Linked DNA regions of Macaca mulatta. The protein of the gene in region 1 interacts with the protein of each later gene in a pairwise test. Links are inferred from orthologs where the notes say so. Each region holds a gene or a part of one and is shown on either strand. Other genes may lie near its edges.

Evidence for each region.
Region 2: the proteins of KEAP1 (region 1) and DPP3 interact in binary tests that used the Homo sapiens proteins (3 or more experiments, as listed by UniProt). The two-hybrid records come from large-scale screens. The link is inferred for Macaca mulatta from reciprocal best matches to the Homo sapiens genes KEAP1 and DPP3.
Region 3: the proteins of KEAP1 (region 1) and NFE2L1 interact in binary tests that used the Homo sapiens proteins (3 or more experiments, as listed by UniProt). The link is inferred for Macaca mulatta from reciprocal best matches to the Homo sapiens genes KEAP1 and NFE2L1.

The regions. Positions count from the first base shown.
Region 1 is NC_133424.1:11,213,504-11,217,248, forward strand, and holds the end of KEAP1 (kelch-like ECH-associated protein 1), read right to left. Parts: intron 3,345-3,745; coding exon 3,139-3,344; intron 2,861-3,138; coding exon 2,684-2,860; intron 971-2,683; coding exon 804-970; 3' UTR 277-803; downstream 1-276. UniProt on the Homo sapiens protein: Substrate-specific adapter of a BCR (BTB-CUL3-RBX1) E3 ubiquitin ligase complex that regulates the response to oxidative stress by targeting NFE2L2/NRF2 for ubiquitination.
Region 2 is NC_133419.1:7,920,360-7,924,004, forward strand, and holds part of DPP3 (dipeptidyl peptidase 3), read right to left. Parts: coding exon 3,637-3,645; intron 2,161-3,636; coding exon 2,098-2,160; intron 1,997-2,097; coding exon 1,872-1,996; intron 1,732-1,871; coding exon 1,611-1,731; intron 254-1,610; coding exon 74-253; intron 1-73. UniProt on the Homo sapiens protein: Cleaves and degrades bioactive peptides, including angiotensin, Leu-enkephalin and Met-enkephalin. Also cleaves Arg-Arg-beta-naphthylamide (in vitro).
Region 3 is NC_133421.1:61,973,335-61,977,079, forward strand, and holds the start of NFE2L1 (endoplasmic reticulum membrane sensor NFE2L1), read right to left. Parts: upstream 2,419-3,745; 5' UTR 2,307-2,418; exon of another isoform or gene 1,338-2,306; intron 315-1,337; exon of another isoform or gene 159-314; 5' UTR 1-158.

The DNA.
Region 1 (3,745 bases):
AAACTCTGTCTCAAAATAAAAGGAAAAAAAAAAAAATGAGCTTGGGGAGCCCTGGGAGATGTGACTAGGAATTAGCTCCTTGTCTTCCAAGGCAGCTGAAACTGAAGGACAGCTGTGTGGCTTGCCTATGGGGAGAAAGATGCCCTACATATCAAAATGCGATGGGCAAAGATTACAAAACGGTTTCAAATACCAGCCCTAAGTCAAAGAGGAGTGTGTTTCAGGAGAAGAGCCCTTTCTGGCCCCGGGTTTCAGACCTCCAGCCCAGAGCCAGGGTGAAAGACACTAGTTAGTCTGTTCTTTATTTTCCTTGGAAAATTACAGGGTTACTTATCAACAAAATAACTGTCCATCCGGTGGGGAAGTGCCATCCGGTGGCTTCTATGTACAGGCCCATCCCTGGGAACCACATTTCCAGAGGGGGCCTCCGCCTGAGGCCCCCATTGGCCCCCTCCCAGGTATCCAAGAACAAATCACAAGGTGAGGGCTGCCGGCGTGGCTGGCTGGGTGGGTGGGACCCAGGGCCAGAGGGTTTGGGGGCCTCTCTCCTGGAAGCCTGCTCTTTCCACACCCCCTTTCCCAGCCAGGCTGTCTTGGACACTCCTGGGGCTCCGCTGAGAGGCACATGATTCCCGCTTTGGACTTCTTTTTGAGATGTCATTTTAACACTGAGGCATCGCGGCCTCCCTTCCCGGAAGATGGGTTATTTGCAGTGCTGTCTTTTTTCTTTTAATCCTGGTTTTTGTACAAAAACAATGATACTCCCCATTGGACTGTATTTTCGCCCAAGAAACAAAAGTGCCTCAACAGGTACAGTTCTGCTGGTCGATCTGCTTCCGGCAGGGCTCCATGGTGACAGCCACGCCCACTCCGCTCCGGCCCGATGTCATTCGGGTCACCTCGCTCCAGGTGTCTGTATCTGGGTCGTAACACTCCACACTGTCCAGGAACGTGTGACCATCATAGCCTCCTGCAGGAAGAACAGAAGGGACGGTCACCACCTGTCACACCACATCCAAGAGCAGGGGACAGAAAGAGGGAGAAGCAGCTGTGAGATGCAAAAGCAGGCCGGGCGCAGTGGCTCACGCCTATAATCCTAGCACTTTGCAGGGCTGAGGCGGGAGGATCGCTTGAGGCCAGGAGTTCGAGGACAGCCTGGGCAACATAGCAAACTCTAGTCTCTTACTGAAGAAAAAAAAAAAAAAAAAGGCCAGGCGCGGTAGCTCAGCCTGTAAATCTAGCACTTTGGGAGACTGAGGTGGGTGGATCACTTGAGTCCAGGAATTTGAGACCAGCCTGGGCAACATGGTGAAATCCCATCTCTACCAAAAAAAAACATAAAAATTTAGCCAGGCGTGGTGGTGCGTGCCTGTAGTTCCAGCTACTAGGGAGGCTGAGACAGGAGAATCACTGGAACCTGGAAGGCAGAGGTTGCAGTGAGCCGAGATCACGCCATTGCATTCCAGCCTGGGCAACACGAGCAAAACTCTGTCTCAAAAAAATAAAATAAAAATAAATAAAAACAGCCGGGTGCTGTGGCTCACGCCTGTAATCCCAGCACTTTGGGAGGCCGAGGTGGGCGGATCACAAGGTCAGGAGATTGAGACCATCCTGGCTAACATGGTGAAACCCCATCTCTACTAAAAATACAAAAAAAAATAAAAATTAGCCGGGCGTGGTGGCAGGTGCCTATAATCCCAGCTACTCGGGAGGCTGAGCCAGGAGAATGGCATGAACCTGGGAGGTAGAGCTTGCAGTGAGCCGAGAGTGTGCCACTGCACTCCAGCCTGAGCGACAGAGCCAGACTCCGTTTCAAAAATAAATAAATACATAAATAACATTAAGCCGAGTGTGGTGGCTCACGCCTGTAATCCCAGCACTTTGGGAGGCTGATGTGGGCAGATCACCTGAGGTCAGGAGTTCAAGACCAGCCTGACCAGCATGGTGAAACCCCATCTCTACTAAAATATAAAAATTAGCAGGGCATAGTGGTGGGCACCTGTAATATCAGCTACATGGGAGGCTGAGGGGGGAGAATCGCTTGAAACCAGGAGGCGGAGGTTGCAGTGAGCTGAGATCGCGCCATTGCACTCCAGCCTGGCAACAGAGCGAGACTCCTGTCTCAAAAAAAGAAAAAGCCCCAGCGCGGTGGCTCACGCCTATAATCCCAGCACTTTGGAAGGCTGAAGTGGGTGGATCACGAGGTCAGGAGTTCGAGACCAGCCTGGCTAACATGGTGAAACCCTATCTCTACTAAAATACAAAAAATTAGCCAGGTGCGGTGGCACACACCTATAGTCCCAGCTACTCAGGAGGCTAAGACAGGAGAATTGCTTGAACCTCCAGGAGGCGGAGGTTGCAGTGAGCTGAGATCATGCCATTGCACCCCAGCCTGGGCAACATTGCGAGACTCCATCTCAAAAAAACAAACATTAGCCGGGTGTGGTGGTGCGTGCGTGTGGTCCCTGCTACTTGGGAAGCTGAGGCAGGAGGATGGCTGGAGCCCAGGAGGTTGAGGCTCCAGCAAGCTGTGATCACACCACTGCACTCAGCCTGGGCGACAGAGCGAGACCCTGTTTCTAAGAAAAAAAAAAAAAAAAAAAGGAAAGCAAAAAAGCAAAAGCAGCCACAGTCCACAAGAGATGGGGCTAGTCGGGACTCTTCCCCACCCCCAGGGCCTCACCAAGGACGTAGATTCTCCCCTGGTGGACAGTGATCCCCAGGGCACTTCGCCGGTGCTTCATGGGGGCTACGAAAGTCCACGTCTCTGTTTCCACGTCATAACGCTCCACGCTGTTCAGCTGGTCCTGACCATCATAGCCCCCGGCAGCATAGATGCAGTTGTGCAGGACACAGACGCCTAAAGGGCACCGTGCAGAGAAGGTGACTCTGGAGGACTGGCTTTGGGAGCCCCAGCCATCACCTCCTTGAGGGAGACCTTTCCTCTCTCCTCTCCCTTCTCACCCTCAGAAATGAAGCATGGAGAGAGAGAAGCTTGGACTCTATCAGAATCCAGTGCTTCTGTGGTTATCTCAGGGTGAGGGTTGCAACAGGGGGTCTCTCCCAGGCCTGGCTCAGTTTCACCCCAGGATGGTGGGGGTGTTCCTGGATGCTCCCCTCACTACCGTCCCCACCCACCTGCCCCGCTTCGGATGGTGTTCATTGCTGTGATCATTCGCCACTCGTTCCTCTCTGGGTAGTAACGCTCAGCTGAATTAAGGCGGTTTGTCCCGTCAAAGCCCCCCACGGCATAAAGCAGACGATTGAGGACGGCCACGCCCACCCCGATCCTTCGTGTCAGCATTGGGGCCACCAAGTGCCACTCATCCCGCTCTGGCTCATACCTGCAAGGGCATAAGAAAAATGGGGACAATGGCCATTATAGCTGACCTTCGTGGAATACTTAAAGGCCTGATACCCCTTTTTTCCCTTTTTTTCTTCCTTTAAAGAGACAGGGTCATCAGGCGCAGTGGCACGTGTCTGTAATCCCAGCACTTTGGGAGGCCGAGGAGGGTGGATCACCTGAGGTCAGGAGTTTAAGACCAGCCTGGCCAATATGGTAAAACCTTGTCTCTATTAAAAATACAAAAATTAGCTGGGTGTGATGGCAGGTGCCTGTAATCCCAGCTACTCGGGACGCTGAGGTGAGATAATCATTTGAACCTGGGAGGTGTAGGTTGCAGTGAGCTGAGATCGTGCCACTGCACTCCAGCCTAGGCGACAGAGAAAGACTCCATTTCAAAAA
Region 2 (3,645 bases), on another chromosome or scaffold:
GCCTGGCACATGGTAACACTCTGCCCCTGGAGAGGTTGGCGGGGGCCCATCCAGGCGAGAGGGCTTTGCTTACCTGAAGCCTCCGCAGGAAGCGCTCTAGAGCAGGCTTGCCCACAGACCGGATCTTGCTGCGGTCGAGGCGGACCCGGGCATCTGGGCGCCCATCAGAGCCTGTGGTGGGAGTGATGGTAACGAGTCCCTCGCCAGCCTCCAGCAAGACTCTCAGGATCACAAACCGGGCCTGCATATGGGCCTGCCGGGGTGGGGAAAGACAGCATTTGTAGCCCATATCAAGTGCTTGGTCCTAGGCTTGGTCCTTGGTCCCAGTTGCTCATTTATTGGCAACTGTTATTGTCATTCTCCCCCACCCTGTGGGTCCTTTTCTGCTTATTCCCCTCCCCTCAAATGCTTCCTCCTTCCTCTGCTAACAGAGAGAGCAGGCTGCACTAGGAGACAGGGAGGCCATTTCCAGGTAGGACCTGGTGCCCATGCTCCCCATGTCACCCACCGTGATCCCTGCTCCTCCGGATCCCCCGAGGAGGACAGCAGCTACCCCCTCCAGGGTCCCCAAACACTTTCTCCTCCACAACCTTGTTTGTGCTCAAAAGGGGAACCAAGTAAGCGTCATTATCCCCAGTTTGCAGATGATAAAACAGAGGCCCAGAGAAGTGGAGGGACTTCTTTAGGGGCACACAGCTAGTAAAGGAAGAGCCACAACTCAGACCCACATTTCTGGACCCTGAATGATGTCACAATACCTCCTCAAACCACACCCATCTGATTTTGTCAAAAAGTTTCTATTGCTGGCAGGGCGCGGTGGCTCATGCCTGTAATCCCAGCACTTTGGGAGGCTGAGGCGGGTGGATCATGAGGTCAAGGGATCGAGACTATCCTGGCTAACACGGTGAAACCCTGTCTCTACTAAAAAATACAAAAAATTAGCCAGGCGTGGTGGTATGCGCCTGTAGTCCCAGCTACTCAGGAGGCTGAGGGAGGGGAATCACTTGAACCCGGGAGGCGGAGGTTGCAGTGAGCCAAGATCACGCCCCTGCACTCCAACCTGGTGACAGAGCGAGACTCTGTCTCAAAAAAAAAAAAAAAAAGAAAAAGAAAAAAAATTTCTATCACTTACCCCATGTCCAAAGGACACAAAATGGAGCCGTGGCACTGAATGGCCCTGGAGGCACTGTATAGATGCGAATCCTGGCTCTGCCACTTAGTGGCAAGTTGCATCATCTCCTTGTGCCTCAATTTCTCTTCTCAAAATGAGGGTAACAACAGCACCTACCTCCTGGCGTAGTGAATTCATGGAGGGCGCTTAGAATTGTGTGTGGCACAGAGGGCGTCAACTGCGAGGAGTCCTAACAAAATCACCTCATCTGATTCACCGTGAAATGGTGGCCGGGGAGAGTCCTACTCCCACTTCACAGACAGGAACTCTGGGGCTCACGAGAGTGATGTGACTTGCCCCCCAAACAGTGGAGTCTGGCATTAAACCCTGTTCATCTGCCTTAAAGGTACAGCGGTCCCATCCTTGCACCCTGCTCTTGGCAGGCTGATCATCCTTGTAGGCTCCCTTCCGCCTCCTGGGGGCCCCACCCAGGCCCCACCTGTCGCCAGTTGGAGGCCTCAGGTGTGTAGAACTCCAGAGCGAGCAGCCCAGCCCGAACCATGTTGAGCCAGTTCACGTAGATCACGTCCTCCGCATCAGCCCCCTCAAAGCCAAAGATCCTGTGAGACGGGCAGGCAGGTGGCAGGATGGTCAGAGGCTACCCTGTCCCCATTCCACCGGCCGCCACCACCCACCCTCCATGCCCCCAGGGCTGGCCACTGCACCGGGACAGCCCACCCCTTGGCTTTGCTGCTCTTACTCCAGCACTTCCGGGTGGAGACAGAGGTAGAGGCCCACGCTCTCAGCCCGGCACTCTTCGTAGCTGGAGGCGATGGTGCTGAACTTGCTGTCCCAGGTCTCCCCGCTCCGATACCAGCTCTGAATCTGGAAAAAGAGCTCCACTGTCAGGCTTAGGGTGGCCACTGCCCCACCCCACCTGTGCCCACCCTCCCAGCACCCTGGGGCTCTACTGAGGCCTCCCTCACCTGCTCGCCCGTCTCTGGGTTGATCACTGTCTCCTGGTCAAAGTTGAATGCTCCTTTTTCATCCTGCAGAACACAGGCTGGGTGAGGGAAAGGCACCCCCAGCTGGATCCAGGCCTCCAGCGCCAGAATCCACGGGCCCAGAGAGTGGCTCAGGAAGGCAAGTGGGAGCGCAGGAGCAGCAGGTCCGTCCACACACTGATGCCTGCACAGCCCTGAGCCCTGTGACGCTGGCTGCCTCCTCAGAGCCATCAGGAACGCGAGAACCAGAGATGCCTACCCCACCGCACAGAGAGGAGAACCGAGGGCCAGACAGTCGAGGAACTTGCCCCAAGTCCTGTGAGGACCCAGATCTGGTGTCTCCAGACCCCAGTAGGAGATGCTCCAATGGGTGGGCCAGAGAGCCCAGCTGTGCCCACCATGGGCTTCTGGTCTGGCTCCTGGCACTGCCACTCCCACTGCATGCCATGCGTCTTTCATGCAGCATCCTTTTAATCCTCACAACCATCTTCCGAGGACAGTGCTACTATTATCCCACTTCACAGACGAGGAAACTGAGGCTTGGAGCCTAAGAGCCCCAAACTGGAGTCAGAGCACACAACCTCCGTGGATACTGTCTCTCAACACTAATACCTGTTTGCTGAGGACCTACTGTGTGTCAGGGCTTACTGTCTTCACCTTTACTCCTCACAACAGCCCACACAGCAGGGGTCAGGAATCTCATTTTACAGATGGGCCAACTGAGGGTTGGTGAAGGAGCTGACTTATCCAAGGCTACACACAGCCTGGATAAAGTCTGGCCAAGGCGTTTCGCCAGCCTGCTGCCTCAGCAGCTGTTCTGCGCATCCTCCTGACCCCGGGGCCCAGTTCCAGCCCTTCCCCATCCAGGGAAGCAGCCCCACACCCCAAGAAGCAGGGCCCACCAAGAACCCTGCCCTCGGAAGGGAGGGGCCACACCCCACCCCACTTCTGGTCATCTCCATGCTGGGGGTCCACATCAGCTTTTCAGCCCCCCATAAAAGGTTGTCTGTGTTTCCATATTCCCTGGGTAGGTGTGGAGGGGACTCCAGTCACGCTGGCTGGCTGGCAAGAAGGGGCTGCTCTGGGGAGAAGTGGCTCCCTACGATACCTGGAAAAGCCCAGGCTCCACGGAACAGCAGCGCAAACAAAGATAGCACTGCTGCCTCAGATGGGAGCACCCAGAGATGCCCCCTACCCCCAGTGTCTGTCCTGGGGCTGCTGGAGCCACGCCCTTAGGGTGTGCTTCCTTAGCCTGAGCCAAGCAATTCCTCCTGGTGTGGGGAACAGCAGCTGAACTGTCCCAGAGGGCCCTCTACACCCCGGCTCTACACCAGGCCTCTGAGCTCCTGGGACATCTTGAGGAAGGGCAAGACAGGGTCTTCTCTGCTTAAGGGGCCGTTTTCCCCACCCAACCCACAGCCCCTGAGGGCAGAGGCTAGAGCAGCTTCACCACTGGGTAGGGCAGGTTGTGGGGAGTGGAGCTGTGGGCTGGGGTACCAGGGCTGGCCGCTGCCTTCTTACCTGTACGAA
Region 3 (3,745 bases), on another chromosome or scaffold:
GATTCCACTGCAGGCTGTTCTCAGGAACAGCTGATGGATTTTTTTTTTTTCCTTCTCCCTCCTAAGGTTTATTTTCTTTGGCTGGAGCTACAGGCCTTTCGTCTTGGGTCAGAGTGTCCCGCCTCCTCCACACTTACCAGGGGGGTTTCCAGAGAAACCTGAAATGGGAATCACAAAAGCAACAAGATGAGATTCCATACTTTTCACATCATGATCAGGGTAGGAAAACCTTCACAGTAGAAGGCAGAAAACACATTCAAAGTACACTTTCACTTTTTTTTTTTTTTTGAGACAGTCTCACTCTGTCGCCCAGGCTGGAGTGCAGTGGTGTGATCTCTGCTCACTGCAACCTCCACCTTCCGGGTTCAAGCGGTTCTCCTGCCTCAGCCTCCCAAGTATCTGGGATTACGGCGCCTGCCACCATGCCTAGCTAATTTTTGTGTTTTTAGAAGAGTTGGGGTTTCACCATGTTGGCCAGACTGGTCTTGAGCTCCTGACCTCAGGTGATCTGCCCACCTGGGCCCCGCGAAGTGCTGGGATTACAGGCGTGAGCCACAGTGCCTGGCCTAAAGGCCACTTTTATAGGAAGAAAGGACTACTTACACTCTCAGAAAAAAAACCCAAAATATAGCAACCGATCATAGAAGAACTATAAAAGGTACTGATCACAAAGGATCTCAGATACTTAATATTAAATGTGCAATATCCTAAAATGTAGCTTGGTTTGGATAAGCAGACAATAACTAGGTCATCCAAAATATCTTACACCTTTGTTTTATTTACCAGCCCTCCTCCCCCGCTACAGGTGCATTACCCAGCTTCTATTTTCATATGAGAAGCCCATTTCCTGTCTTAAAAGTAAAGCTGAATTTTCACCTCTCAGGAGAAAACCACCTATAACAGTTATCTTTTCCAGTTCAAAAAGGCAAGATTATTAAACAGTGAGAGTGTGGAAGGACAAAAGGACAATGTTCAGGTCACCACTTCACCCAGAAGAAGAACGCCTTTTGTTTTCTGAACTTTGAAATCTGATTTCCCTTTCCTATCCTCACATCTTAAAAAAAAAAAAAAAAAAAAAAAGGAAAAGGGCCGAGGCTTGTAATCCCAGCACTTTGGGAGGCCAAGGAGGGCGAATCACCCAAGGTCAGGAGTTCGAGACAAGCCTGAACAACATGGAGAAGCCCTATCTCTACTAAAAATACAAAAATTAGCCGGGCGTGGTGGCGCATGCCTGTAATCCCAGCTACTAGGGAGGCTGAGGCAAGAGAATCGCTTGAACCCAGGAGGCGAGGTTGTGGTGGGCCGAGATCGCGCCACTGCACTCCAGCCTGGGCAACAAGAGCGAAACTCCATCTCAAAAAAAAGAAAAAAGAAAGAAAAAAAGAAAAGGAAAGAAAAAAAGGAGGAGAAGGATGGTGGGGGGCCTACTACGCAAGACTATTCCGTCCAGGATTTGCATAGGCAGGTTTTATTTTCATTCATATGACCTTCTGAGCCAAAGCAGAAGGATATGGCCACGTTCTCTAGCCAGACCGCCCAGTGCCGAGGAGGTAAATCTGTTTCTGGTCTCCACTTTTGAGCTTCCATTAATCTCACAAACCAAGACATACCCCCTCTCCTCTCCGGCGTTGTGACCCATCTACCAACTTCATTCTACAGGGGGAGAGCGATCTATACGTACACAGCGTACGTGTACACACACACACTCACACTCCCTCTCTCTGGTCAGAGTAAACACAATTGCGACCCAGAATTCCTGCTTACGCTACCCTCCCGTTCTCACGCAATTTATTACTAAAACCTCCCAGGAGCCTAAGTTCGAGAAATCGGATAAAGTCCCTTAAAAATCGAGTTAGGGGCAGGGGCCCTGGCCTGAGGCTGGTCCCACCCTGCCCGGATACCCGAGTCCGGCTGAGACCAAGTCGCCATGCCCACTCTCGGCGCCGGAGCTTCTAGCCTCCTGGGGCGGCCAGCGAACAAGTGCTACTTCCCCGGCCTTGACCCACCCTTACAACAAACCCCACCCCGCCCTCCGTCCCGATGGCCCCACCCCACTCCCAAGTCCGGGCCTCACACCACGCCTTCTCGTGCCCTCAACCCTGCCCAGTCCATCCCATCCCGGAGCCAGCTTTCCTCTCGGCCCCGCGCGCGGCCCCTCCCTGTCAGGCCCAGGGCCGGGCTCTGGCGGGAACCCTGCTCGGCCCCCGCCTCCTGCGCCTCAGCACCATCCCGTCGCCCGTCGCCCCATAAGCCTCGGCCCCGCGGCGCTGCACCCCTCCCTTCTAGGAAAGGAATGTGCCCGATACCCGCTGCTTAGCTCGGCGTCCGCCGCTGCCGCCACAGCAGGCCCTAAGCCCGAGTCCCGGCCTCGCCGCCGCCACCGGCCGGCCTAGAGCTCCGAGCCTCCGCTTCCCTCCCCGCCCCCTCCTGCCACCGCACTCGGAAACCCGCCCGCCGCAGGCACCCTAGGAACAGTTTCTCCAATCAACGAGCCGAGACCGGGGCCGTCGACGGATGTCCCTCTGATTGGCAGCAGAGAGGGCCCAATGGCTGAGTGCACCTCCTCATCTCCGGACCCGATTTCCCAAGACTGACATAATTCCCGGCCCAATGGGTACCTAGGCCCGCCCCGCGGTGTGGACCGACCAATGAGTAGGGCGAAGGCCTTAGTGTCTAGCATTCTGGGCCCCTCGGCCGCGCGTTCGCGGCGGGAGATCTTAGCGGGCTGGGAGTTGGGTGAAGTATCCAAGCTGGGCGCTTCCAGCGCTTTCTGTGGCGGGGGATTGAGGGCTTAGGGCAGGGAATGGGAGGGTGTATCGCCGCGGGAGTGCGGAACACCTCCGCCTTGAGGGTTCCCACAGTGACTTGCAAAAGTCTAGTGAGACCCGAGAAGGCTGAGGCGGGACACGAAGCATGTGGTGCTTGTGGTTGCGACGCTCGTGCCGCCATCTTGGGTGCTGGCGGCGGAAACCGGTACCCCAACTTCCTCTCGGTGCGAACCTGGAGAAGCCTCCCCAGCTGTGAGGGACGGTTGCGCCTCGTGGCCCAGGCAAGGGTGCCTTCGCTGGAGCAGTCCCGGAGACGGTTGTCATGAGGGTGGTGGGACGTTGGCGGAACGTTGGTGGTATGAGAGCTGTGGGGTAATGGCGATTTTTGTCATGGTAGAAACACCCCAAAGAGCCCCCCTCACTTGGTCTCCCACGCTGCTTAGTCTTGCTTTTTTTAGGGATGTTTCTCAGTTTCTAATTTCTCCAGTCCCATCTGGTTATATTTCCAAAACATGTTTGTGACTCTCAAACGTTAGTTTACCCCCAGCATCACTTGGGGAGCTTGCTAAACTACGAATTCCGAGGTCCCACTGGAGAGTCTGATTTAGTGACCCTGGAGTGGCGGCCGGATAACCTGCCTGCTGGGATGATTTTAACGCAACTGATGCGAAGACCCCATTTAGGGAATCATTGGGTTGGAGTTTGCAGTGCGTTCCTCCCAGCTATAGGACAAAGAGGTGTAAACTCAAGTCTGTCTTCTTAGAAGAGCCCATTATTTATGGGTGAATCATTAGTCCCTGTACAACTAAGGACAACGCCAACTGATAACTCAGTAAATAATGAGTCCATTTTGTGCTTGCAGTTAGGAGGCTTAATTTGGGGTGGTTTACAGATTAAGTACTTTCACTGTATATAATAAACGTACACCAGCAATTCTTACAAAACTTCTGAGCTAGTTTACCAGTTTCAAAGACTAA